7 linked regions of the Mus musculus genome follow. The protein of the gene in region 1 interacts with the protein of each later gene in a pairwise test. Links are inferred from orthologs where the notes say so. Each region holds a gene or a part of one and is shown in the gene's direction. Other genes may lie near its edges.

Region 1 (3,500 bases):
CACTCCAGAAAGTAGAATCACAGGGTATGTTGCTTTTTGTATATAAAAGTCAGTAGCTACTTCTTAAGTTCTTATTTATTTATGTGAGTACACTGTAACTGTACAGATAGTTGTGAGCCTTCATGTGGTTGTTGGGAATTGAATTTTTTTAGAACCTCTGCTTGCTAGGTCAACTCTGCTCACTTAGTTCCTGCTTGCTCTGGCCCAAAGATTTATTTATTATTATGCATAAGTACACTGTAGCTGACTTCGGACACACCAGAAGAGGGCATCAGATCTCATTACATATGGTTGTGAGCCACCATGTGGTTGCTGCGATTTGAACTCAGGACCTTCAGAAAAGCAGTTCAATGCTCTTAACCACTGAGCCATCTCACCAGCCCCCTACTTCTTAAGTTCTTTTGTGGTGTTCTATTAACTACTAGAGGGGTAGCATGCATTGCTTGCTTACAAAGAAAATATTTGGCATATTTTATACATATTCTATGTTTACAGTATATAAAGAAATAAAATGTTGACGCTGAGCCGTGGTGGTGCACGCCTGTAATCGAAGTACTCAAGAGAAGTAGGACATACCCAGGGCTACACAGAGAAACTGTCTCAAAAAAAAAAGAAAGGAAGGAAGGAAGGAAGGAAGGAAGGAAGGAAGGAAGGAAGGAAGGAAGGAAAATCCCAACATAGTATTTGGAAATTCAACATTTCTAAATCTTGAACTTAATGTCTAGCCTGGTATCCTTCAGAGTCTTGAATAACATGTTCATTAAAATGTTTATTATAAATTTAAACCTGAAGCCGTGCACAGAGGCTCGGAATGGACTTCACATTTCATTACTGCATGTCTTTCCCTCTCTCCTTGGTGAACCCCAATTTTTACTATGAAGGGAGATTTCGGTTTACATACAAAACTTGTGCAGTATAACTGAATGTGCCATCAAGTTCCCAGTTGATTGGTTTTTGAGACAGAGTTTCTCTGTGTAACAGCCCTGGCTGTCCTGGAACCACTTTGTAGACCAGATTGGCTTCAAACTCACAGAGATCCACCCACCTCTCCCTTTTGAGTGCTGGGAGAGAAGGTGTGTGTGCGCCACTGCTGTGTGAGCCAGCTCTAGGTCAGGTTTTAATTCAGCCTGAGGATGCCTTCATAAAGCATCTAGTGTAAAGTGCTTAGATGTCGTGTCAGTCAGGAAGTGTGTTGCCATGCAGTGCCAAATGAGAGGGGCTCAGATTTCTTTCCTCCTCTCAGCTCAGAGCAGGCCATCTGGGTACAGTTCTGAGCACAGTCTGCAAACGCCATAGTGATCTTCTCTCCCTCCATTTTTGTTTTTCTGTTCTAGTTACAGTCTGATGCTGTGATAAAACAGATGAAAAGCAACTTTGGGGTCACAGCTTTATCATCAAGGGAAGTCAGGGCAGCTTTCAAGCAGAAACTGTAGAGATATACCATTGCCTTGATATACCATTGCCCTTTCATGTAAACTCTGGCCTGGGGAGGAAAAACAGCCCAGAGGTGCCTGAAGCCATCTTGACCTGCACAGTTCACTCCTGTCCTCTTCTGTTTCAGGCTGGAAGTTAAGCCCAGTAGTTGGAGCTGTGTATGGTCCTGAGTTATATGCAGGTACGAGTGCACTGTTTTCCTGTCTGCTACTCAGTGACCTCTGGTTTCTCATATGCTTACATCTTTGTAACCTTTGTGGGTTTTGTTTTGTTTTTAATGCACTTAGCATCCAGCTTTCAAGCTGATGTGTCCCTAGGCAATGAGGCGGCTGTGCCCTTGTCAGGAAGAGGAGGCATCAACACTTACATCCCTCTAATCAGTAAGTAGCCTACACTGACCTACCATGGGTTTTTGACGGTTGCCACATGTGCTAGTTTGGTCTGTTTTTGTTCTAGCATAATGCAGAACTGATGGAAAAGAACCATTCTTGACAGAGTAATAGATACCACAATGCCCTGTTTTATGTAACTCATACTAGAAACATCCACAAAACAAAAATCATGGGAAAGTGTACAGATGAACATGTAACTATCCTACCTGGATGTGATCATAAGGAAATCAGAAGATAAGAGCATGTCTCGCCTGCATTACTGAAGCCTGCTCATCCCACCCACTCTCCTCTGGAGTACCACTTAGACATCTCCAGTGTCCGTGACAGGCCACTTTCTTGCTGTCTCTAAAGTCACTTTTACCCAGGCCTGTTTCCCCTGGCAAGAGGTGTAACTAAACCAGATTCCACAGAGCAGGATGTTTGTACAAGGCTTCCAGAGCAAGGAACACTTAGAGCCAGCTTTTGTCTGTCTCGCTAAAGGGTGCAGGATGCCGGGCGCCTGAGGAGACCAGGCAGTGGCAGTGCAGCCTTTAATCCCATCACTCAGGAGGCAGAGGCCGGTGGAGCTCTGTGAGTCTGAGCTCAGCCTGGTCTATAGAACTAGTTCTAGGACAGCTAGGGCTGCACAGAGTAACCTTGTCTTTAAAACTCCTGTTTATTTATCAATATTAAAGAAATTAAATTACAAATAAATTCTCTAAAAACTATTGTATGCTTGGAGCATTAAAAATATAAAGAAGTTTCCTTTTGAGTAATAATTATTACATAATAACAGAAATGAAATTAATAGTTGGCCAATTAAAAAATATATTAACCTGATTTAAATCAGCAACAGAAATTAAAACGTGTGCATCTTACTATGATAAAAGAGTTTCTTATCAGTTCTCATAATGACTGGAAAAACCTGGAAGAAACAGGGTAAGCTCAAGACCGTGACAAACAAGTGGGGCATGGAGTCGTCATTAGGTCATCCTGTATCTCTCTTCCCACCCCCTCCCCCAAAGCCCCGTGTTAATTAGCATGTATGCTTGCTGTCTTTTCAGGGAACATTCGGTGCCTGTCTTCTACCTTTTCCATAATTGATTCTCAGTCTAGCTTTGTACCAGCTTCTGAATGCCAGTTGAAATTTCTGTCATATTTTGGGTCTCCCTTTAGTTCCTGGCTTCCCTTACCCAACTGCAGCCACCACGGCAGCTGCTTTCCGAGGAGCCCATCTGAGGGGCAGAGGGCGGACAGTGTATGGTGCAGTCCGAGCGGTACCTCCAACAGCCATCCCCGCCTATCCAGGGTAAGCATTAGATTCCAAAATCACCATTTCTAAAATAAGTAATGGATACAAAAGAAGGGAAGAAAGAGTGCTCTGGCCCTCCCTGATTCCTAGGATGTTGCTTGACAGCATTTAGATGCTGTGTGAATATTTGCAAATTAATGGACTAAGGGCAAGAACCAAAATACAGAATTTTGACCAAGGGTCATCAATATATAAACACTCATTTTGGCTACCTTAAGCCTTTGTGGTGACAGCTTAAGACAGTGGCCAGAGCCATCTTGTGTTTGCTAGCAGTGTGTTGGCATGGAGTTCACTCAGCAGCGCACGAGTGTGGATTAACACTACTACAGAGAAGTGAGGAGGGAGCTGGAGATCATAGTGCCAGACTGTGTCTGCTCTGCTCA
Region 2 (3,500 bases), on another chromosome or scaffold:
TTTTCTAGAGTAGCAATACTATCTCTTGTGATTGTCTTGGTCACTTTTATCTTCAGCTGGATATATAATAGGTGCAGCATATATGTTTGCTGAGTTCTCATTTGATTGACTAGTCCCATTGCAAGGCTTTTGATTACTTTGGAAACTTAATTGAAAAGCTTTGTACTGTCATCCTAGCAAAATAATAAAAAGATGGTTTTAAGTAGTTGGCACTAGGTGCCTGTTACAAAAGGTGTATTTTGTCTTTGGGGGAAAAAAAGTATTAGTAACATTGCTTTTTTCTTTTTCTTTTCTTTTTTTTTTCTTTTTTTTTTTTCTTTTAAAGGAGGAGCAAAATAGAGGCAAGCCCAATTGGGAGCATCTAAATGAAGACTTACATGTACTAATCACTGTGGAAGATGCTCAGAACAGAGCAGAAATCAAGCTGAAGAGAGCGGTTGAAGAAGTGAAGAAGTTACTGGTACCTGCGGTAAGTAAATTTTCATCTTGAATTTTTTTTACCTTTTCCTTTTTAGATTGACTTGAAATTGTAATGTTAATAAAGTATGAGTTGTTATCTGTTAGAGATTTTATTTAACCACAAATATAAAAATAATGTGTGGCTCATTAAGTATATAGTGTAAAAGACAGGATTGCTCAAAAATCCCTGCTTATTTTTGTGAAGGAAGTGATGTGGTAGAGAAACAAGCCTAACTAGCCTACTTTTTAAAAGACACAGTAGACTTTTAAATTGCTCTGTTATAGGAAGAATCTAGATTTATCTATCAGGATATTAAAAGTTTTTGGTTTGTTTTCTGTCTTCTTTTTCTTAAAAAAGTTAAGTATGCTGGACAAGGTGGCACATGCATGCAGTCTCTCCCAAAAACTTGTGAGGCAGAAGCAGGCTAATACCTGCAAATTCTAGGCCAGCCTTATACATAGTAAGTCTAGGTCAGTCAGGGCTATGTAGAAAGACCCTGTTTCAAAAACCACCAAACAAGCAAAAAACAAAATCCAAAAAGATTACGTAATAGTCATTCAAAAATTAACTAGTTACTAGTGTAACTAGTGCTGTGGGAAAGTAGAGTTTGCTCATATGCTAGGTTCTCTTCTGGCATATTTTCTTCTGTAAATAAGTTAATGTTGCACAGTAAAACTTTGTTATTGCATAGTGAAATTTGTGTTCTTTCTGAAACCTGAGTTTTACTGATTTCATAGACACTACTCCAAATATTTCTTACACTTATCAGCTAACAAACACTGTTCAAGGTCATATTTAGAAATCTTATGTCAGAAATTGAAAGTAAAATTTGAGACTGGCATCGCATGAGGCTTAACACCTCTTTCCATTCTTTCTCTCCATTTTCTTCCCTCAACTCTTCTTCACTTTATTTATATTGCTGCATAATATCAGAGTACTGTTTTTCCCCCCAGTGGGAAATGAGAAGAAAATGATTTTAAGTAGATTATGAAGCCATCTTTCTCATGTTTCTCATGGAAATATTTCAGTTGGCTGCTCTTAAAGAAGCTAGGAAAATCTATTGTTAGTGTGCTGTCACCAAAGCCATTTTGTTGCTTCCATGAATGTCTTTGGGATCTACTGTTGTTTATATCCTAGCAATCTGATCTTTATTGTCCTCATAGTCCACTTTCTTTTTTCTTTCTTTTTTTTTTTTTGTTTGTTTGTTTGTTTTGTTTTTCGAGACAAGGTTTCTCTGTAGCTCTGGCTGTCCTAGAACTCACTCTGTAGACCAGTCTGGCCTTGAACTCCGAAATCCACCTGCCTCTGCCAAGTGCTGGGATTAAAGGTGTGTGCCACCACTGCCAGGCCATAGTCCACTTTCTAAGTGACCTCATACATTAGAAACATTTCCCCATTCATTTGACAAAATTGGTTTCTTGCAAAGAAAGAATTTGATACAAATTCTGTCAATAGATACTTAAGGAACATGGACATGTAGATTGTTTGTAAATATGCACTGTTTGTTCAATCTTATCCTCTTTCCTTTCCTTAGTAACTGTGTGGTCTTGAAAAGCAGTGCAAAGGGGACTTGTGGGTATTTAGTTGCAGTTTCATAGACAGGAAAGTATTACAGTGCTGTGTATCTAACAACACATGTGTTTAACTAATGTAGCAAAATGAAAATGGTCTAATAGTTTACTATTTACCCATTTTATTTTTCTAGTCATTGCTTTTGTAATTTACTTTTATTCTAAAAGGTACTATAGAAGAAGAACATTGATTTAGGAGATTATTAGTGAGTTCTAGAAAATTTTAGCCAGTTTCTTTAATTTAGTGGGGGAATAACTAGTGGTGAGATAAGATTTTGGAGTACCCACTTTTTCATTTATAGAATTTCTTGTTGATTGATGAGCCTGACTTGAGTTTGGTCTCAGGTTCAACAGTGGTGGGAGAACCAATTTCTGGAAGCTGTCCTCTGAATTTCACATGAGAGCTATGGCACATTTTAGAATATTTCCCCCTCCACTTCTGCAAAGTTCCCTGAGCACAGAAATAAGAGATTAGACGGAGACACTCCTTTTAGTACTGAGTCTCCCAAGCAAGGGCTCTTATCTGTATATTGTCCAATTGTATGTCTCTATATTTGTTCCCTTCGATTGCTTCTTGATATTGGCTGGGCAAGACACTTATCTATGAGTATAGCTGAATGTCATTGAAAGTCACTTTATTGTTGTGTTCTTTTATCAGAACAGTAGTATTTGGATTTCTTGTCTCAGGTTCCTGGCCATGTGGGTGTTCCATCTCATGAAGTGGGCCTTAATTCCAGTCAGATAGTGGTAGTTACTCCCATAATGTTTGTATCACTATTGCACTTGTGTATCTACTAGGCCACCATTATAGAACAAATAGATCATACTTGGATTGGTGTGAACCTGTCTCCTCTTGTATACAGTATGCAGAGTCCTTCTACTACCATGAACACCAGTCAGTAGGAGTGAAGGCTCTAGGTAGGCACTAACCTACCTTCTTGTTGAATGAGTTATTTAAATATTGCCTCCAGCAATAGGATATTACTGTCAGTTTGTGAAGAGCAAACAGTAAGTAGCTTCAGTAATATATTCTGGCTGTTGGGGTTCTATAGAGCTCCTTTAACAAGAACTTTAGATGTAATGCATTTCAAAGATTGGATGTCTCATTTGATGATGAGAGATGTCTACTTGGACTTGGTCTCCCTGTTATTTAGTGACTCCATTTATATTTCTTTCATATATGTATATATTTTGTGACTACTTCTACTATAGTAGGTTTCTTTCCATACTATTCCTCAAGTGACCCTGAGTTTTAGCTGTTTCTCCTCTTATTCCTCTCTTATTCTCCCTGACTTTCCCTTTTTTTCACTTTAGATTGTTTTCAGTTCTTTTGTGTTGGAAATCTTCTAGCTGTTTATAAACAATAAATTCTTAAATGTAGCCATTTTGTTGTTAGGAAGCACTAGAGTTTATTCCTCTTATCTAACTCTAATTGTGTACCTCTTAAAACTGCCCCCCCCCCCCCCCCC
Region 3 (4,234 bases), on another chromosome or scaffold:
AATTGGAGCCATAGTGAGTTCCAGGACAGCCAGCTTTACAACAGAGATACCATGTCTTAGGGTGGGGGTGTGGGGAACCAAAAGAAACAATACAAAACAAAACAAGAGTTGGAAGCCAGCCTGGGTTGCAGTCAGACAGAGGGAGCTCAAAAGTGAAACCTCTGGCTGTAAAAATCTGGGAACTTCAATTTGACCCCTGGAACTCACCTAAGGGAAATGAAAATACTTGTGAAAAGTTGCTCTCTGGCTTCTTCAAGGTTAGAAGTCACTTGCACCTTTCTCTGGCAATAGTAAGGAACTTTAAAAATAAATAAAACCACCCAAGGAGCAGGGTGAGAGGTCTCAGCAGAACTTGCTGCACAGGCCTTTCAACCTTGAGTTTGATCAGGACCCCACATGGTGGAAGGAGAGAACACTCAGGATTGTCCTCTGACTTCAGTTGAAAGTGTGGTGATAACTCGCACGAACTTAACAATTTTAATGCCCCACTCCCTGGGCAAACAAACAAACAAACATCAGAGGTGGGGGATGTAATTTGCCAACTACAAGGCTCTGGGTTTAGTGCTCACGAATACTTATCTAACTTTTGTAGCATCTGTTTTCTATCATTTGACTTCTATTTTTCTTCTTGGACAGGTTTTCCTCTCAAAGTTTTCTTTCCTTTTTCTGGAGTTAGTCTGGTGTGTTGTTTTATAAACGTTTCCTTCATCACTGTAGTTCACTTATAACCAGAGATTATTCTGAACGGCCTTGTAATTTCTCCAGTGTTTATATAGACAGCAGCTCGCGACCATGCATTGTAGCCTCGGCCGCCTCCATGCAGAAATGGAGTTCGTAGGAACCAGCTCGTGTTCCTACGCCCGCCTAGGCGGCTCTGGAAGCTTCAAAAATAATCTTCACTTTAGCTTGTATCTCGACATCTCGCAGAGAATCCTCCCAAATTATTACACATCAAGAAAATCTGTCCCAGCGTTCACATAGTGCTGAGAGTTAGAAACTTCAGACAAATCCCTCCGGACTGCCTGAGATGCCCTTAGGCGGTCTTTCTTTTACATAAGACACCATTCTAGTTTTCCGCACGCATGCGGTCATTGATTCCTTTGGGATCACTTTTCGGGATGCGGAGACACGCGTGCAGAATTCAGCGTCCACCGACTCACCAGCCCACAGGTCTCTTTATGGACAACCCCCTCCACCTTGCTGTCTCCCCCCCCCCCCTCGTTTGCCCGCCCCCTCCCCCTGCTACCCCCCCCCCGCAATGTTTGCGCCTGCGCCGTCACTGTCCTCTCCGGGACTCAGAGGCGGGTCCACAGCTCTCTAGTCCCGCCCCTCTCCCTCCCCCGGCCAATCCTAGGCTCCGTTCTGGGCTCGTCAGAATGGCGCCGCGGCTGCCCTGTGCCCGGATGTCCGCTGCCTGAGGCTCCGCCCCATCACCGTCTTGCATCCTTCCGGCTCCGTCGTGGAAGGAGGACTGCGCCTCGTCTTCCTGAAGGTGGGGTTCGGGGAAGGCCAGCCCGCGGTCACGCCGGCTGTGGGAAGGGAAAGTGGGCTCCCCGGGCTACTGTTTCCGGGTGCTCGGGGCGTGGGCCGAGCGGGGAGCGGACCGGGGATCAGGAGGGCTTCCGGAGGCGCCGCTGGCGCTCGGCAGGCGGGAGTTGAGGAGCAGGCCGGCCGCGCGGTTGACTCGCCCCGCTGAGGCCGTCCCGCGAGCGCGCCTGTGGGGGTTTCCATGGTGACAGTAAACAAGCCTCAACTGCCTCAGCTACAACTGCCAAGTCCCCGGGGTTCCACCCTCCTCTAGGTGCTCTGAGGGCCGGCGAGGTCCGGATGTGAGTGGGAGCGTGGAGCCGAGAAGCCGGAGGTGAGGGCCGCCGGCGGGGTGTGCTGGCGCCTGGGCCCGGCGGGCGTTGGATGGCGGGCGTGGGATCCGGACTCGGAAGGAACGGGGCCGAGGTGGCCGCCGCACAGCCATAGCCGTGCGGAGGCTGCCCACGGAGCTGGGGACCGCGTGGCCGGGGTTTGGGGTCGGGAGCCGAAGTTCAGCGCATTTTCGACGGGGATTGGGCCGCGTGGCCGAGGTGTGCGGTCGGGGGAGCGGGGACTGAGGGCTGGAGTCCGGTCGGTAGGGCCGGGCCTCTGGGCTGAGGTGTGCGGAGGGCCTGGGAGACCGCAGCCGCGGCCCACGCCCGCCCGGAGAAAGCGCGGCTTTCCTCAGAGCCGCCCCCCCACCCCGCCCGCAGGCGCGGCTTCCTCGGCGGGATATTGGGGGGGGGGGTGAGGGTGGAGCGCTTCTCACCCACCGCGGCTTACGCTCTGTCAGCGGCCCCCCGGCAGGCCCGGGCGGTGGTTGTAGTTTGGAGAAAGACGAGCGGGCGCTCACGTGGCCCGAGGCGCCCGGAGTTTCACAAGACTGGGCGGGACGGCTCCGCCCACCGCCCACGCCCGGCCCGAGCGAAGCCGAGCGCCTCGCTTCCTCCTCGTGGCGGCCCGGGAGCTAGGAGCACCGGTCTGCGCCGGTCCCGTCCCCCAGAGGTATCGTGTTAGCGTGTGGGGTGCGGAGTCTTTGCCTAGGTGGGTTAGTCGGCCTTAGCCGCAGTTACGAGCACTTTTGTGCTGTGTTTGTGGAGCCTCACGTGTCTGGGAAAAGTTGAGGTGGGCCCGCTCGGCCTTCCCTCGGCGCGTGCTCTCCGGAGCCTTCCCGACCCGGCGGGATCGGAGAGGCAGCCCCATGTGCCCTAAGACTCCCACCCAGCGACCTTTTCTGCCCCTGCCAGTCCGGGAACAAACAAATGGGCCTCTTTCCTACCTGCAAGTCGGGCTGCGGAGTAAGCGGGCGAGCGAGCGCGGGTGGCCGCCATGTGGCTGTGCGGGATCGGTCTCCTGAACCTGGGCAGTTTTGTTTACGGAACTTTTGGGCTTATTTTAGTCGGTTTCCTTTAATGTTTATTTGTGCGTGGAGGTGAGGGGATAAGGTGAAGAAATGGATTTTTCCAGCACTGGGTCCTTGGGATTGAATTGAGGGTCCCTGTCACAATGATCTATCGCTCTGTCCAGGGGGTGGTTTAAATATTTAATTCTTCTAGTTGAACAAGACAGACGATATCTGGAAATAGTTAATACTTAAGTCTTTCTTCCCTTCGTGCTGCGGAGTGGAGGTCAAAACGTGGTTCAGTTCTTCCATCTGTGTATTCAGACTGAGCGCAGGTAGCTAAGGTCTGGCAAAAAGTGCGTTAGCCCATTGAACAATGTCGAAGTACTTTTGAGTACGCCGGGTGGCTATGCATGCTTTTGCGCTCAGCGCTCGGAGGTAGATCTCAGTTGAGAACAGTCTTACAGACCAAATCCTGACTTAAATTTTGAACTTTCTGCTTTTCTTATCTCCCTCGTGTTGCCATTAGTCTTACCAGCCTTTTTTTTTTTTTTTAAGTTACAAATCATTATGTAGCCACAGAGGATGACCTTGAATTCCAGATCACTCAGCTCCACCTCTAGATTGGAGTACTAACTCGACCACACCCCATTAGTAGTTACTGGGCATGGCAGGCTTTAGGCACGCTTTGTCAGCCCCATTCTGTCTGTATTATGCCCGTTTTTGTAGTAATTTTTAAAAAAGATTCATGGTTTGATTTGAAGGAAGGCCTGGGCACACTGGATCTAAAAGTAAATGCAAAAGTGATTACTTGTTTCTTGAGGTAGGGTCTAACTATTATATTACGCCTTGGCGCAAAATTACTGTATATTTAGATAAGGCTGGCTTCAAACTCAAGCAACACACCTACTTTTGCTTCCATAGTGCTGTGAATTGCTGGCATTAAAGGCATGTATCACGAAGCACAGCTAATACAAGGGGGTGTGTGTGTGTGTAACAGCTTTCTTTTGTTTTTCGAGACACGGTTTCTCTGTATAGCCCTGGCTGTGGCTGTCCTGGAACTCACTTTCTAGATCAGGCTGGCCTGGAAGTCAGAAATCCGCCCACCTCTGCCTCCCAATTGCTGGGATTAAAGGTGTACACTACCACGCCTGGCTGTATTTTGTACTTTTGAGATGTTTGGTTTTGTTTGGGGGGGGGGTTATTTTGTTCTTTTTGGATTTTCAAGACAGGGTTCTCTTTGTAGCCCTGGCTGTCCTGGAACTCTGAAATGTTTGTTTTATATGTGATTATATTTAAGACTTTAGTAAATGCCGAAATAAAACTACTGACCATTTGCTTACCAAAAAAATTTCAGTTCTCTGT
Region 4 (3,500 bases), on another chromosome or scaffold:
AAAAAAAAAAAAAAAAAAGATAAGCAAACACCTGTCTCCTAGGCTACCGTTTGTTACTTCGCCATGTTATCACACCAGCTATTTTAATTTTCATACATTTTCGTACCATTTGTAACCAATTCATTTTATGCTAAGTGTTACGCTTATACAGTTGAGTAGCAGGTGAGTTTTAGTCTTTTTTACACCTTTGGAAAGGAAGATGGGTGTGCAGAGAGACTGCTGTTCCCAAGCAGCCCCTAGGAAGATTGGGTGTGTCTGCCTCCTGCGGAAAGACCAGGTCTGTGACTGGAGTCACTTTGGCTGCCACTTTGGCTGCAAGTCATTCCCAGCGTAGTCTCCAGTCTGATGGGTTGCTTAGGACTGTGGGAACTGGAGGGGAGTGGGAGGAAAGGGAGGCAGAACCGGGTGCTGAGCCAGCCGGAGCAGAGCGGAGCCTCTGTGAGGCGGGGCTGTGGTGAGTCTGCCTGTGGGCCTGGGAGATTCGCTCTGTTGTGCTTGAGAAAGTAAGAGTGTCCCTTTCACATTGCAGGCTGTCACCCTGAACTGTGCCCACAGTTTCTGCTCCTTCTGTATCAATGAATGGATGAAACGGAAAGTAGAGTGTCCCATTTGTCGAAAGGACATTGAGTCCAGAACCAACTCCCTGGTTCTGGACAACTGCATTAGTAAGATGGTGGATAACCTAAGCTCAGACGTGAAGGAAAGAAGAAGTGTCCTTATTAGGGAACGGAGAGGTGAGTGGCTCTGAACTCCTACTCCCTGACAAAGGGCTTCCTTACTTAGCTACAGCAGGCGTTTTTACAGGGTGAAGTTGGACAATAGAGTTTAGTAAATGTTTTTGGAGTACAGGCAGGAGAAATGGGAGTATCTGCAGAGTTCAGGTAGCCCGCATAGGAAAGAACCGAATTAGAGTTAGTCTCTGTTGTTTGAGCTCCACCTGGTAGGTGTGTTCCCGCTTGCTCTGGAGCAAAAAGCTGGGCCAGAAAACAGTCAAATGGTTTGCTGTCTGCACACCAGGTGGTGCTGTTGCTGAAGGCAGCCGGCCAGTTAGAGATGGAAATACATACATAAGCTCTGTAAGGGCTTAGGGCTGGGGTGTAGTCAGCCACAAAGCCCTGGGTTCAGTCCCTAGCACCACTATTCACACACACACATTATTGCGTCCTGGTGGGTTTGATAACACATCTCCAGTCAGGGGACTTGGGGTGAGAAGATTGGGGAAGGGATGGCAAGTGTTCCTGAACTGTCCCTCCTAGTGAATATCTGTCCATTTAAGTCAGTGGTTCTCAACATCCCTAATGCTGCAACCCTTTAAAGTAGTCCCTCTTGTTGTGACTGACAACCATAAAATTAATTTGGTTACCACTCCATAACCATCTGTACGTTTGCTACTGTTATGAATCACAATGTAAATATCTGTTTCTGGTGGTCTTTGGGGGTCGTGCCCACAGGTTGAGAACCGCTGGTTTAAGTGATGCTGCCACACTAGGGGCTTGCTGTGTTAATGCCGCAGAAAGCCACTCCTTCATGTTGCAGCAGAAGATTCTTGGTGCAGAACAAGGAAGCTGCTGGGTATTGCATAGAGAGCCATGGCACAAGAGGCGGGGTGTCCATGGCCGTCGTGTTCTGTTGCTACCTTCTGGGAATTGGAAATTAACTCAGCTCCTGTCTGTGATGCTGTCACATGACCGGTGTGTGGGGGTTGGGTGGGGGTGGGGTGGCCTGGTTATACTCCTGAGCTGAGAGATGCTGGGCAGCATAGAGGCCAGATGCTGGTCATAGCAGTCGAGTGGCCCTACAGGAACCAGCTTTTCCAGGTAGGGACAGGGATCTGTTGCTGACACATGTGCATCCATAGTGTGAGACTGGGCTGGGTGCTGTGGATGCCGAGTGGGAAGGGTTCCTGGCTAGGAGTGTGAGCTGACCCTTGACGTGTGTGCTTGCTGCTTTCCTGATACCTGCTAGAGTATTTTGCTCAGTTTAGAGTCTCTATAAGTTTTACCTCTGCCCTTGGTTCTGGCAGAAGCCCATTGCTCTTCATTTCCACCTGTATTTCCATAGGAACATGACACTAGCCCTGGGAAGAGAGAGAGCATCTCACTTCCTCTCACGCTTACCTGAAGGTGTTGTGTGGCTTCAGAGGAAGGACCGCTTACGTGGGTCTGGGCAGGTGGAGATGAGAGAGGATCCTGTAGAGGAAGCCATGTTTATGCCAAGCCTTACAGCTTTCTGGTTGCTTGCTTTCCAAGCCAAGAACATGACACAGTTTGCAGAACAGCCAAAACTGGGAGGGGCCTGCCAATGGCTTGCTTCTGTCTTCCTGGGAGTCAGATTAGATAAGGAGCAGGCTATGACTTTTGAGCGGAAGTGTGTTGTCTGGGTCAGGGTGGGATGCCTATGAGAGTTTCTTTTTTCTTTTTCTTTTTTTTTTAAGATTTATTTATTTATTTATTTATTTATTTATTTATGTAAGTAAACTGTAGCTGTCTTCAGACACACCAGAAGAGGGTATCAGATCTCATTAAGAATGGTTGTAAGCCACTATGTGCTGGGATTTGAACTCAGGACCTCTGAAGAGCAGTCAGTGCTCTTAACCACTGAGCCATCTCTCCAGCCCCCCCCCCCCCCCCAGGAGAATTTCTTTGCCCAGCCTATGTTGTTGTTCAGCTGATGACTGGAAGAGCCCAAGTCCGTCTCTGTCCTCTTATGGAGAGTCACTTGCATAGACTAAGGACCACAGTCCCTCCTCCCTTCTCTGCAGAGGCTAAGCAGGCTATCCCTGGGCGCCTCTGGAAAGAGGAGTGACTGTTCAGGAAACCACGCCCTGTTGCACACCCTGATCGCAGCATGTCTGGCAGCCAGTTCTCACCGCAAGTGCAGCTTTGCGACCCGTTCTTTAGACAGGCAGAAGGTTCTGTGCCTTGATTTAGGAAAAGATGTACCAGAGCCACCAGCAGCGTTGTTGGGCTGCAGTCTGGGGGCCAGCTCTCTGTGAGTGTTCAGCTCTCTGTGAGTGTTCTGGCTGCAGTGTGGGGGCCAGCTCTCTGTGAGTGTTCTGGTGCCATTTGAAGGCTGGTTTATTCCTTAGTGCGTGGGAATTTCTAAAAAGAACTTAGGATCTGGAATGGAAGAGTGTTCAGTGGTCAAGAGTACTTTCTGCTCTTCCAGAGGACTGTGTTCAATTCCTAGCACCCACATGCTGGCTTACAACTGCCTGTAACTCCAAAGGGATCTGACATGTTTTGGCTGTTTTAGGCACCAAGAATGCACATGGTGTGCATATATGTGTAGGTAAAACACCCTTACATATAAATACAACAAACCAAGCGAATACACAAAGAACGCAGGCTCTGTGTTTGGGCAAGGGTTTGGTTGATTCTCACGCAGATGTCCTGTGCTCTCCAAAAGCAGGGCCTTCCTCAGCTTCCCTGACTGTAGGTTTAGGTCCCAGTGGGAGCAGCACCTCCTGACTGGTTAGCTGTTGGGGGTGGGGGATAGTA
Region 5 (3,241 bases), on another chromosome or scaffold:
CTTACCCTGACAGCAAGGGATCTTGTGAAATTGGTCAGTTTCAGGAACTTCCTGAAACTATATGAGTTGTTTGCATCCCTACTTAAGGAACTTCCATGCAGGATGGGGTGTTTTAATTTCAAAGGAAACTGTTATACAACAGTCCTCACATAATGTTGTAGTTAGGGCTCAGCACATGACTCTGGATAGAGAAGTCTTCAGACAACATAGGTGACAGGAGATAGAGCAGGAGCTGTGGAGGGTGAAGACATCTTAGGAGAAATGCGCTCCTAAGGGCGAAGCTAGCAGATGACTGTCTTCCCAAGACGTTGGAGCTTGATGCTCCCTTCCTGGTAAACCACTTCCTCCTGCCTGGTGGCCAACTGGCATCCCTGAAAGGCCACCATTTCCCAGGAGTTCCGATGGCCACCAGACAGCAGGTTGGTCACAATCCACAGCTTTTGTCATAGAAGGGGAAGGGCTTTGATCTTACTGGATAGATCAGGCCAGACACCAGTATTCAGTGCCACCTGGAGGTTGGCTATAGGACTTGGTGGTTTGCTCAGACTGGGATCAAGGACACAGTGAGCAGGCATGATCTGTCCCTGTTAGCTATGAGGAAACTGCCAGGCAGCAGCAAATGATTGGGCTCCGGGCCCCCACTGTGTATGCTGTCCCCTGAGCCACAGGAAGGTCCCAGAGCACCCTTCTGACCAGTGCGGAGGAATGCTCAGGGGAAGGGTACTGCTGTCCCTGCACTATAGAGCACTGGAAGTACAGCTGCCTCCTTTCAGCGACTCACACGGTCTCAGTGCAGAGCCTGGACTGAGCAAGGGAAAGGCGGCAGTCTGAGCACACCTCCTCCCCAGGGCTGTCCATGAGGCATCTGAGCCTCCTGCCCGGCCCAGATGTCGTGTGACCTGCTATGACTCACTGGATCGTGAGTACTTGTTCCATGAACCCTGACACACAAGACAAGAGACCCTCAGCACACCTCAAACAATCGCCAGACACGGGTTGAGGTGCACAATATTCTCTGATTACTCCTAACTGGCTCCAAAGAACCAGGTCTCTGCTCAGAGAAGAGGAGATGCACAGAGGTACTCAGGGTTTGCAACTGGGGCAGGAAACCCCAGAATCCATGCTTAGATTTACAAGAGTCGCCTCTAATTGGGACTCCGAGTCGGGGCTATTTCTGGTGTTGGCGCGGCTCCAAGAAGGCACTCACTGTGTGCTGCCCCACACATAGAGAAGGAGAATGAGCGAGTCGGGCTCAAAGTCCAGCCAGCCCCTGGCCTCCAAGCAGGAAAAGGATGGGACTGAGAAGCGAGGCCGGGGCAGGCCACGCAAGCAGCCTCCGGTGAGTCCTGGGACGGCGCTGGTCGGGAGTCAGAAAGAGCCCAGTGAAGTGCCAACTCCGAAGAGACCTCGGGGCCGACCAAAGGGAAGCAAGAATAAGGGCGCCGCCAAGACCCGGAAAGTCACCACAGCTCCAGGGAGGAAACCAAGGGGCAGACCCAAGAAACTGGAGAAGGAGGAAGAGGAGGGCATCTCCCAGGAGTCCTCTGAGGAGGAGCAGTGATCACCACTCGCAGTGCCGCCTGCTCCATAGCCACTGAGGAGCAGCTGTCCCCTGGGACTGGAAGCCCTGCTCCCAGGCCCCTCCCCGCCCCCACTGCACACTACCGCACCAGGCACCAGCTGCAGGCTCTGCTCCGCAGCACCCAAGGGAGCAGGATTCGGCTCAGTCCCTGTGCCCTCCTCCCGAACACACCTGCCCCATCCTGACAAGGCTAACTTCCCATTTAGCCGCAGCCCGGCCTGCTGCGCACCTCCCTCAGAGCCGTGGCTCTCTGGGCGCTTTGTTTTGCGGGTCCCTTCTGCCCTGCTGTTCCTGGCTTCCCCGTAGAGGGTCCTGGGAGCATTCCCTGGCCTTAAGGGGCCCCGGCCCCATCTCACTCTGACAAGGCCCAGTGGCTGACCTAGCAGCAGCAGTGTGGTCAGGGCAGGGGATGCTTAGATCCCAGCATGTCCCCACCAAAGTATCACCGGGTGGGTTTCTCAGCCCCTCCTGCCCCACCCTACAGAGATCATGCACTGGGTTGGCTGAGCCCCTTGACAACAGGAAGTAGGATGATGTTGGCTCCACCCACTTTAATGTTCTCACCTGAGACTAGACAGATGGGGTTACCGCCCATCTCCAGAGTAAGGGCCTGTTCTCGCCTCCACCAAAGGCAAACGGGCACCAACACGCCTCCCCCAGTCCACTCTAGGCTGTTCCTTCCTCCCGCAGGGCACTAAGGAGCTAGCCTTGCCGCCCCCTCCTTTTCGCTCCTCCCTGCCCCCCATGGTTCTGGTTCCATCTTCTCCTCTGTTCACAAACTACCTCTGGACGGTTGTGTTGTTTTTTTTTTGTTCCATGTTCATTCTTAGATACCCACTATTGCTGCTGCTACCAGCGTCAGATGTTCATCCTCCTGAATTTGCCTGTATTCTCTCCCCCACACAATACACTCGAGGGGAAGGGGGGCTGGGGCGCAGCAGACTGGTTACCTACCCCACACTAAGGAAGATGGGGCCCCACCCCGTGGATGCTGCAGCAGAGTGAGGATGGGGGCCCACTTTGATGGGAAAAGGGTGTAGGGCCACCTCCCCTTGTTCTGTGGGGGAGGGGTGGCCAGTATTTGTCCCAGCCTGGGGCTTCCTCCCTGGTTTCTTATTTGCAGTTACTTGAATAAAAAACAAATAGCCTTTTCTGGACAGTCAAAAAAAAAAAAAAAAAAAAAAAAGATTTACAAGAGTCCTGCCTCAAAGTAAAGACGGTGCCTCAGTGTCTCTGCCAAAGGCGGAGTTCCTGGCTGGTACGGGGCAGCAGGTGAGGGGCACCTGGGAGGAACAGATTGAGGGGAACAGCCAGGGGACTCTCTAGACACACTGCAGGCATGGTGGGTTCTTGGGTCCCTGGGCATTGGAATCCAGTGTGCCTGCTCCAGCTAGATCACATCACTACCTTCATTTATAACAACAAAACAAAAAGTCCCAAGCTGATGCTTCTGTCCAGATAATTCCAAACCCAGCAATCTCACTGCCCTGGGCCGAGGGTGTGGCTCACATCACCGAGCATCACTGATGGGGCACCGTTGGCTTAGTATGCTCTCAGGCCCTGGGTTCAAGACTCCACATCTCATTGCTGAAAATTCAGATTCCTTCTTTAGGTTGCCCCTTCCTTCCCGCTACACTGCTGTGTCAGACCCTCTCACAG
Region 6 (4,286 bases), on another chromosome or scaffold:
CTGATGCTGGTCTTTTATATATATATGTACATATATATATATGATTTATTTATTTTATGTGTATGAGTGCATAATAGCTGTCTTCAGATCCGGGTGGTGGTGGCGCACGCCTTTAATCCCAGAACTTGGGAGGCAGAGGCCAGCCTGGTCTACAAAGTGAGTTCCAGGACAGCCAGGGCTACACAGAGAAACCCTGTCTCAAAAAACCAAAAGAAAAAAAAAAAAAAAAACTGTCTTCAGACACACCAGAAGAGGGCATTAGATCCCATTACAGATGGTTGGGAGTCACCATGTGGTTGCTGAGAATTGAACCCAGGTCCTCTGGAAGAGCATCTGGTACTCTTAACCGCTGAGCCATCTCTACAGCCCCAGATGCTGGTCTCTTTTGTTTGTTTGTTTGTTTGTTTTTTTCCAAGACAGGGTTTCTCTGTGTAGCCCTGGCTGTCCTGGAACTCACTCTGTAGACCAGGCTGGCCTCGAACTCAGAAATCCACCTGCCTCTGCCTCCCGAGTGCTGGGATTAAAGGCGTGCGCCACCACACCCGGCTCAGCTGGTCTCTTCTTAATCACCGCTAATTTCTTAGCTCCAGCTAACCAGCATCAATTGTCCCAGTAGTCTCTTCTCTTTTTCACTCTAAAGCCAGAGCCACATGCTGGAACATCACCCCACCCCCAACCCCATTCTATTACCAGCTTTCTGTTTTCCACCTCCCTCATTGCCTAAGCTTGGCTGTCCTGGAACTTGCTCTGTAGATTGACCTTAAATCCAGAGATCTGCATGGCTATCTCCTAAATTATGGGATTAAAGACATGTACCTCCACACTTCTCTCTAGATATCTCTAGTATAAAAGCCAATATTTGGGGGGCTGGAGAGATGGCTCAGCAGTTAAGAGCACTGACTGCTCTTCCAGAGGTCCTGAGTTCAATTCCCAGCAACAACATGGTGGCTTACAACCATCTGTAATGGGATCTGACACCCTCTTCTGGTGTGTCTGACAGCTACAGTGTAGTTAGATATAATAATAAATAAATCTTTTTTAAAAGCCAATATTTTGTTCTGTATCCATAATCCCAGCACTTGAAAGCCTATGTCAACCTAGGAAGTTCCATACCTGGGCTCAAAACCAAACCAAACCCCAAAATGAAAAAAAGAAAACCATGGAGGTAGTCAGTAAAATTAAATTTTATTCAAAAAAAGAATAATGAACTGACCCCTGGCAGTGTATCTGTCCACCGAGTGCAAAAGACTCCTACCCTGGCTTTGCAGTGTTTACAAACTTCTGGAAGGACCTCCGAACTTCCGTGCCTCCTCAAAGTTCCGGCTTCCACAGCGGGGTGGGTCAAAGTGACGTTGCTTCGCTCTCATTCGCCCACCTTTCTCTACGAGGGCGGGGCCTATCCGTACAGCCGCGTCTGTCAGATTAGAGGCCCTTCCGGGGCCCTGACTTTCCGACACTCTAATTGGCTTTTGCTCGCTCTGGGGGTGTGGCCAAGTCTCAGCCCCTGTTCTTAAACTACGTCCTCACGCAGCGCATCCGTCGCGGTAGTCCATACGTCATCGGCCGGCTCCCACCCTGAGACGACAGGGACTCGACCGTAGAACCCGCTGCGGCTGCTGGAAGGAGCGGTGAAGGCTATGGCATCAGCGATGGCCGGAGCAGGGCCGGCTCCGGGACTCCCGGTGGCGGGAGGGCCGGTGGTCCCGGGGCCTGGTGTCGGCATCCCGGGCAAGAGCGGCGAGGAACGCTTGAAAGAAATGGAGGCGGAGATGGCCCTGTAAGGCCCTGAGTAGGAGAAATAAAAGCTGTTCCCGGGCAAACCCAATTAACCCTGTAGCCTCCAGGTCTTCAGAAGGTTGAGATGTGGTTCCATAAGGGGCCGTGGGACCCGAGGGATGCGGGGAGGCATTAGCTGGGATGAAGGCGCGGTGGAGAAGTACCCAGCACCTCAGGCTTGGTGAGACCTGACCTATGGTATCTGTCCCGCTCCCCCAGGTTTGAGCAAGAAGTATTGGGAGCTCCGGTGACCGGAATCCCAACTGCTGTGCCTGCGGTGCCCACGGTAGAAGCGATGCAGGTCCCCCCAGCTCCTGTGATCCGCCCAATTATCGCCACCAACACATACCAACAGGTAAGGTGAGAGCTACAGCTTGAGTCGGGAGAACAGAATGGTTTGGTCCCAATAAGGGCTTATCTATGGACAGCGATTGATGTTTTGGCTGGCATGACCACTTAAGTGCCAGGGACTCAGGATGCAAGACAGTATATTTAATCCATTGGAAACTAATATTCTACAGTGCCTGTCCGGTAGAACTTTCTGCAGTGTTAGATTATTCTATATAAACATCTCTTGAGCCAGGCATGGTGGCGCACACCTTTAATCCCAGCACTCGGGAGGCAGAGGCAGGTGGATTTCTGAGTTCGAGGCCAGTCTGGTCTACAGAGTGAGTTCCAGGACAGCCAGGGCTATACAGAGAAACCCTGTCTCGAAAAACAAACAAAAAAAAAAATCTCTTGAAAGTTTTTATTCACAGATTTGGGGTGTAGTTCAGTGGTAGAGCACTTAGCCTGGCAGAGTCCTATTTTCTAAGCCCACTACCACCACAAAAAAACCAAAACAATATTAAAATGTATATCTGTGTTGTCATTCCCAAGACTCATGGATAATATTCCAGGTGCTTAATAGTCAGCTGTAAGAAAGAAGCCGAGGAAAGAAGGAAACAGGGGGGAACTATTTAGAGGAACACCAGCAGAGAAAACGTGTTTATTCTGTTCACAGTTATTAGGTGGGCTGGGATGCAGCTTAGTAATAATCTCATGCCTGGCATGTCAAAGCCGTGGGTTCAATCCCTTGCATTGTGGAGGGAACAAAAAAGATCAAAGGCACTCTTGTGCCTTCTCAGCACTAGGCACTGTTCTAAGCAAGGGGTGTATAGGAGAAAACAAAACAGAAAAGTTCCCGTTGTTTCTTTGACCTTACAAAGTGGTAAGAGTTTTATTAGCAGTCAGGGAAGGCCTTTTTGATCTGGTATTAGTAAAGCAAAGATATAAATGAGATGACTGAACCATGCAGATGTCTGGAGTGATGTTATCCCAGGCAAAAAGTTGTCCATGCAAAGACTGAGACAGCATTGTCTTGTTCATGCAACAGCAGAGAGGTCAGTGGCTAGAGAGGAGCAAACAAAAGGGAAAATGGAGAAGATTAAAACAGTGATGGAAGCTAGATCTAGCAGGGTCTTCTGAGCCACTTTAAGATGAAATGAGGAACTACTAGAGAATTCTAAGGTGGGTGGTAATGGTCCAACTTATAGGTTAAGCATGTAGCTTTGGCTGTCTTGATAATATACTAGAGAGAGCAAGGGTGAGTTCAAGGAGATGGAGAAAGAGGCTAATAATCTAGGTAAGGTAGAGGTAGACAACAGGGAGAACAGGTCGAACATTAGTTAAGATAGTGTGGGGTCTGCAGCCTCACTCTGAACATACCTGCTCTCAGAAATCACAGGGCCCTGGTTAGTCCTTGGATGGGAGATAGTGCTGTAGGGAACTGAGTCAGAAAAGTTGATCCTGGGAGATATTAATAATAAAAGCTTAAGCTATTAAGTGGTGGTGGCACATGCCTTTAATCCCAGCACTTGGAAGTCAGAGGCAGATCTTTGTGAGTCTGAGGTCAGCCTGATCTACAGATGGAGTCACAGGACAGCCAGGGTTACACAGAGAAACCCTGTCTTGAAAAACAAACAAAAACAACAAAAATAGCTTTATTTAGTATGGCGACAGAAGCCCCAGTGAAGAGACCTTGTAGCAGACTCTGACTGGTCACCAGACCCATAAAATAAAGGGTAAAAGTATTAACCTGCCAGGGGAGCCAGCATCTCTGAGCCACAACTCCTCCCCAATAGGTCCAACAGACTCTGGAGGCCAGGGCAGCTGCTGCAGCCACAGTTGTTCCTCCCATGGTGGGAGGCCCTCCTTTTGTGGGCCCAGGTAAGTGACAAAATGAGGGGTCCTGTTTCAGGCAGGGTGGTAAAAGGGGGTGCCCAAAGGTTGCCTCCCACCATCCTCATCTCTTCCTCCCCACAGTTGGCTTTGGCCCTGCCGATCGTGGTCACCTGGACAGTCCTGAGGCTCGAGAGGCCATGTTCCTGAGGCGAGCAGGTAGGTTGGGGACCAAGACCTCACTTTTGGCCAGGCACACTTGTCTGGGTTCAAGAACTCTGGCTCTGCCCTGCTGCAGATCCCTATCTCCATCCTGATACTGTCTTCACTCAGTACATCCCTGACCATGT
Region 7 (4,069 bases), on another chromosome or scaffold:
CCATGAGAGTTCTGTGCAATTGGCCATTTCTTAATCCAAGAAACCCTTCCTGATCCTTGCTTGGAACATAGGCTTCCTGTGGGCCTTGTATAGCTCTCTCAGCACCCCCAAATGACAGATTTCATACTGGATTGCTTTTTGTCTATTAAAAAGAAACACTACAAAGTTCCATCAGGGCAAGACCTGTGGCATGTTAACCTAGGCATGAGAGCTGAGAGAAGTCAAGGTCACTGGAGCCAAGGAGATCAGAGAATGAAAGGACACTTGGAGGTGATATCAGAAAGGCACAGGGCCTGTGGAGTGAGAGGGTGACAGACCTAGAGTGAACTTCGCCTTTGAGGTGTGGCTTGGGCCTAAGGAACATGGTCTTCCCTGTGTTTTAACAGAATCTCTCTGGTTGTAGGGTGAAACCAGTGTAGCATACAAGGCTGATGCCAGGCAACCAAGAAAAAAAAAATGACAATGGTTTGGGTCATGGTACCAACCAACATGGCAAAATTTATTTGTCTACAAAAAAGTATTGGACTTCAAGAAACATGGAGAAACAACAGGTGGTTAAAAAAATCTTGATGGAGATTGGGGCACAAGTGGCTAGCATTTGTCAGTTATCTCTGGGCTCTAGATGTGGTCAAAAGCTGTGTTTACTTGGGTGAAGTCATTTCACTCTTTCTGCTCTTTATATCACTCGCAAAGTGAGGATGGGTAATAAAATATACCCCATGAATTTGTTGAGAGGGGATGTAAAGGTTTTGGCACAGGATTTAGCATGCAATCAACATACATATAAATGCTATCCTAGAGACCAAATTACCAGTTCCCAGGGGCACCTCTATTGCTCACTGGCTGATTGTGACACGATTTCCAAATCTATGTAGTGGCAGAGTACTGTCATCAATACCAACTGTATAATACTGGATCTGGAAATTTTGATAAATGCATTAAAGTTTAGCATGTAGAATAAAGTGCTATCAGGCAAGAAGTACTGCAGGCATGCTAATAAATTACGATGAAAACATCTAAGACAGATTGCCTAAATTTTCCCCCGGCCTAGTACACACTCCACTTCGCAGATGAGAAGTCTACTGTAGTTGGTAGAAGGCAGTCTCTCCCCAGGAACGAACAGCCTGGCACTCAGCAGTCGCCTGCTGCAGGCAAAAAGGCTTTGAGAAGATAAGCCCTAGCCTGCGCGCTTCTTAGTGGAACCTTCTAGTTCGGTGCAGGTGTTTCCAGCCCGGAGCACGCACAAAGTCAACAAGTATTTCCGGTGCGCGTCTCTGCGTTTCCGCGTTTCCACTTTTCCGCGCAGGTGCGGACAGAGCCGAAAGCGAAGGCGGCATCAAAAGGCGTCGCTGCCGCTCGCGGTCCCGCTTCTCTTAGGCGGAGCGGCTTTCTGCATAGTCCCCTCCTTTTCTTCCTTTCCCACAGAAGCCGCAAACATCCATGGCGGGTCTCGAGGTTCTCTTCGCGTCGGCCGCTCCATCCATGAGCTGCCCGCAGGACGCACTCGTCTGCTTCCTGCACTGGGAAGTGGTGACAAACGGCTACTATGCCTTGGGCACGGGCGACCAGGTACGCGGGTGGAGGGGAGTCTGCAGCCCGAGGCCCAAAGGCCTGCCCTGACCGTGCCAAAGCCAGGGCCCGAGCGAGGCTTCTGATGCCGCACTTTAGCGCGCCTGGTGCTGGTGCCGACAACGGGCACAGCGTGCGTGTAAACTCGGGAACGGACGTGTAAAGGCGTCCCCGACACAGCCGGGGTTGTGTGGATCTGACTGAGACAGGCTAGTAGCTTCCTCAAGGTCCTCATCCACCAGTTTACCCAAAGCATCTGCCGTAGAATACTCCGTGCTACACCCTCAACTCCAAGCATCTGGATTCAAGCACTGGTGTGGCAGTGAACTTTGACCTACTCAGCCATATTCTAGGACCCCTTCTTCGAGGGGACAGTGTTTGGATTTCAGACTTGAATGCTGCGTTTGATTCTTGCTGTCCGTTCTCCTGAAGTACTTTCTGGGCTCAGGCTGCCCTTGCCTCCATTCTCTGCTGATGGGTATGCGTTTTCAGGGTAGAAGCCAAAAAAAAATTTTTTTTAATTAATTAGTTAAAAATTGAGAGGCCATTAACTGTTAATTTATCTACTAGAGAGTTTTATTTTCCAGCCTGTGGCCAGCAGATTAGTAATGCTTGCTGGACTCAGCAGGTATTTGTGTTGGTCCTCTAGCTGCCTCCTGCCACCCTCCTTCTGTGGGTGATGAGAGGAACAAAGCACGCACTTGACTGGGTAATACCAACTCAGCAGCTAAAGAGTCATGCTGCCCACTTTCTCTTTGCTTTTTTGCCTCCAGTGCTATAGAGCTGGGCTTGTAATATTTGATCTCAAGAACATGTTTGTTGACTTGAACAAACAGGCATTGATTGGTCTCCTTATTGAGGGCACGGCTACTCCCCATGAGAGCTCTGTAGCCGTGTGAGATAAGGTCAGTGGAGGGCCATGGAGATGGCCATAGATACGAGTTAGAAAAATTGGCATTGTGTTGTGGGAGTCTGAAGATTATAAAGAGAGAATGACCTGTTTATGTGTGCAGTTTTGGTTGGTTGGTTGGTTGGTTGGTTGCATTCTAGCCCAGAGGCACTAGGGTGAGCCCAGTGGCCATTAAGGAATGTTTCTAGCCTCAGGATTTTGTCTATAGAAGACAGCTAGCTTTACCTTTCTTTACCTTACCAGTCTGTCTGGAAGAATCTCCAGCCTGCCCTGCTCTAACCTTTCATAGGTCGCAGCCACTCTCAGGCCTTTGAGTCTTCATCTGAGGAAGTTACATGGTACAAACATATGCTTTCGTTATCTGCCAACCATAGCCTTGTGGGACACTTGATATTTTATATCAAGGTGCAGAGGACAGCCACATGATGTGTTGGGCCTGTCTAGCTTCTGTTTTCTGTGGAGTATCCGTTTCACCTTACCACAGTGAGGCTGTGAGCTTTACCTGACCCTAGCGATTATTTCTTGCTCCGGAATGAAGGTGTCGAGGTGGGGAGCAGAGCAGGTTGTCTGTAAGTCAAGAGCGCCTGCTGGTAGGGCCAGTGCTGTCCATGTAGGACAGGAGAGAGTCAAAGGTCTTGACTGAACACAGGTAAGGTCTGCCAGCCCTGCCTTAAACACCCGAGTCACCCTTGAAGTCCACACCACACTAGGAAGTTACCCAGAAAGGCAAGAGGGTTTCTCAGGCTGTGGCTAGCTTCAGTTTTGTTTTCTCCTTACTCTCCTGTCTCTGCTGAGGCTACCAGTCTCCTTGTCACCTAGCCAAGTTTGATTGTGACTCCTCTGGCAAAGGATTTCCAAACACCAGGGGTGGCCTCCCCTGCACTTGCTGTGTAAAGTCCTTCATGTGTGGGCCTTTGTCAGTGTTGTCCATCGCCCCACTCCTTCCCATCCCATCCCATCCTACCATGCTCTCATGAACACAGCTTCTGGTCGTGCTGTTTTGTGTTGAATGTGTGCTTTTTAAAGGGTTTTTTGTTTTTCCATAAATGGTATTGGACCATAAACTTTTTCTAACTCCTCCCACTCCCCCTGTAAATTCCCACTTTGTGACTTCTCCCTCTGTACCCCACTCATAACCAACAGAGTCCAGTTAGTGCTTCCTGACAGAATATTGCTTATTTTGGTGACTTGCTCTTACGAAGATGGTATTCATGGGTGCTCTGTGCATGTGTCCAGAGGGGAGAGTTTCATAGAATTACTCCTCCTCCTGGTTCTTTACTGCCAATACACACACACACACATGACGTTTTCTCTAGAATACTATAATTTGATCTAGTGTGTTCCTTCTGACTGCAGTGTAATGTGCCACTGTCAGCATAGTGTGCACTTTACCTCGGCTTCAGCTGTTCAGGCTCACACTGGAATGAAGGTTGACATTGCTTATCAGGCTCCCACATGTATCCACAGCTTCCTTCTAGGAGGACGTTTGAGTCTTGGCTCATACAAACCTCATAGAGCTAAGTACTGCTAGGTGGACTCCCAAAGGGCCTGTGTAAGTCTGAATTCCCAGAAGTAGTGTCGAAGGTTCAC

The links.
Region 2: the proteins of Rbfox2 (region 1) and Qk interact in binary tests that used the Homo sapiens proteins (3 or more experiments, as listed by UniProt). The link is inferred for Mus musculus from reciprocal best matches to the Homo sapiens genes RBFOX2 and QKI.
Region 3: the proteins of Rbfox2 (region 1) and Hnrnpf interact in binary tests that used the Homo sapiens proteins (3 or more experiments, as listed by UniProt). The link is inferred for Mus musculus from reciprocal best matches to the Homo sapiens genes RBFOX2 and HNRNPF.
Region 4: the proteins of Rbfox2 (region 1) and Rnf8 interact in binary tests that used the Homo sapiens proteins (3 or more experiments, as listed by UniProt). The two-hybrid records come from large-scale screens. The link is inferred for Mus musculus from reciprocal best matches to the Homo sapiens genes RBFOX2 and RNF8.
Region 5: the proteins of Rbfox2 (region 1) and Hmga1b interact in a two-hybrid assay, tested with the Homo sapiens proteins (2 studies listed by BioGRID and IntAct, with this or other methods). The link is inferred for Mus musculus from reciprocal best matches to the Homo sapiens genes RBFOX2 and HMGA1.
Region 6: the proteins of Rbfox2 (region 1) and Rbm42 interact in a two-hybrid assay, tested with the Homo sapiens proteins (2 studies listed by BioGRID and IntAct). The link is inferred for Mus musculus from reciprocal best matches to the Homo sapiens genes RBFOX2 and RBM42.
Region 7: the proteins of Rbfox2 (region 1) and Psmf1 interact in a two-hybrid assay, tested with the Homo sapiens proteins (2 studies listed by BioGRID and IntAct). The two-hybrid records come from large-scale screens. The link is inferred for Mus musculus from reciprocal best matches to the Homo sapiens genes RBFOX2 and PSMF1.

The regions. Positions count from the first base shown.
Region 1 is NC_000081.6:77,097,554-77,101,053, reverse strand, and holds part of Rbfox2 (RNA binding protein fox-1 homolog 2), read left to right. Parts: intron 1-1,561; coding exon 1,562-1,615; intron 1,616-1,721; coding exon 1,722-1,814; intron 1,815-2,969; coding exon 2,970-3,114; intron 3,115-3,500. UniProt on the Homo sapiens protein: RNA-binding protein that regulates alternative splicing events by binding to 5'-UGCAUGU-3' elements. Prevents binding of U2AF2 to the 3'-splice site.
Region 2 is NC_000083.6:10,235,862-10,239,361, reverse strand, and holds part of Qk (protein quaking), read left to right. Parts: intron 1-325; coding exon 326-469; intron 470-3,500. UniProt on the Homo sapiens protein: RNA reader protein, which recognizes and binds specific RNAs, thereby regulating RNA metabolic processes, such as pre-mRNA splicing, circular RNA (circRNA) formation, mRNA export, mRNA stability and/or translation.
Region 3 is NC_000072.6:117,905,348-117,909,581, forward strand, and holds the start of Hnrnpf (heterogeneous nuclear ribonucleoprotein F), read left to right. Parts: upstream 1-1,434; 5' UTR 1,435-1,492; exon of another isoform or gene 1,493-1,762; coding exon of another isoform or gene 1,763-2,494; exon of another isoform or gene 2,495-2,571; intron 2,572-2,756; coding exon of another isoform or gene 2,757-2,858; intron 2,859-4,234. Other genes in the region: uncharacterized protein 4933440N22Rik, read right to left, coding at 1,763-2,494, 2,757-2,858.
Region 4 is NC_000083.6:29,635,289-29,638,788, forward strand, and holds part of Rnf8 (E3 ubiquitin-protein ligase RNF8), read left to right. Parts: intron 1-529; coding exon 530-734; intron 735-3,500. UniProt on the Homo sapiens protein: E3 ubiquitin-protein ligase that plays a key role in DNA damage signaling via 2 distinct roles: by mediating the 'Lys-63'-linked ubiquitination of histones H2A and H2AX and promoting the recruitment of DNA repair proteins at double-strand breaks (DSBs) sites, and by catalyzing 'Lys-48'-linked ubiquitination to remove target proteins from DNA damage sites.
Region 5 is NC_000077.6:120,761,652-120,764,892, forward strand, and holds Hmga1b (high mobility group protein HMG-I/HMG-Y), read left to right. Parts: upstream 1-1,142; 5' UTR 1,143-1,237; coding exon 1,238-1,339; coding exon of another isoform or gene 1,340-1,372; coding exon 1,373-1,561; 3' UTR 1,562-2,741; downstream 2,742-3,241. UniProt on the Homo sapiens protein: HMG-I/Y bind preferentially to the minor groove of A+T rich regions in double-stranded DNA. It is suggested that these proteins could function in nucleosome phasing and in the 3'-end processing of mRNA transcripts.
Region 6 is NC_000073.6:30,647,429-30,651,714, reverse strand, and holds the start of Rbm42 (RNA-binding protein 42), read left to right. Parts: upstream 1-1,486; 5' UTR 1,487-1,637; coding exon 1,638-1,777; intron 1,778-1,995; coding exon 1,996-2,131; intron 2,132-3,899; coding exon 3,900-3,984; intron 3,985-4,080; coding exon 4,081-4,155; intron 4,156-4,286. UniProt on the Homo sapiens protein: Binds (via the RRM domain) to the 3'-untranslated region (UTR) of CDKN1A mRNA.
Region 7 is NC_000068.7:151,738,511-151,742,579, reverse strand, and holds the start of Psmf1 (proteasome inhibitor PI31 subunit), read left to right. Parts: upstream 1-1,269; 5' UTR 1,270-1,425; coding exon of another isoform or gene 1,426-1,440; coding exon 1,441-1,569; intron 1,570-4,069. UniProt on the Homo sapiens protein: Plays an important role in control of proteasome function. Inhibits the hydrolysis of protein and peptide substrates by the 20S proteasome. Also inhibits the activation of the proteasome by the proteasome regulatory proteins PA700 and PA28.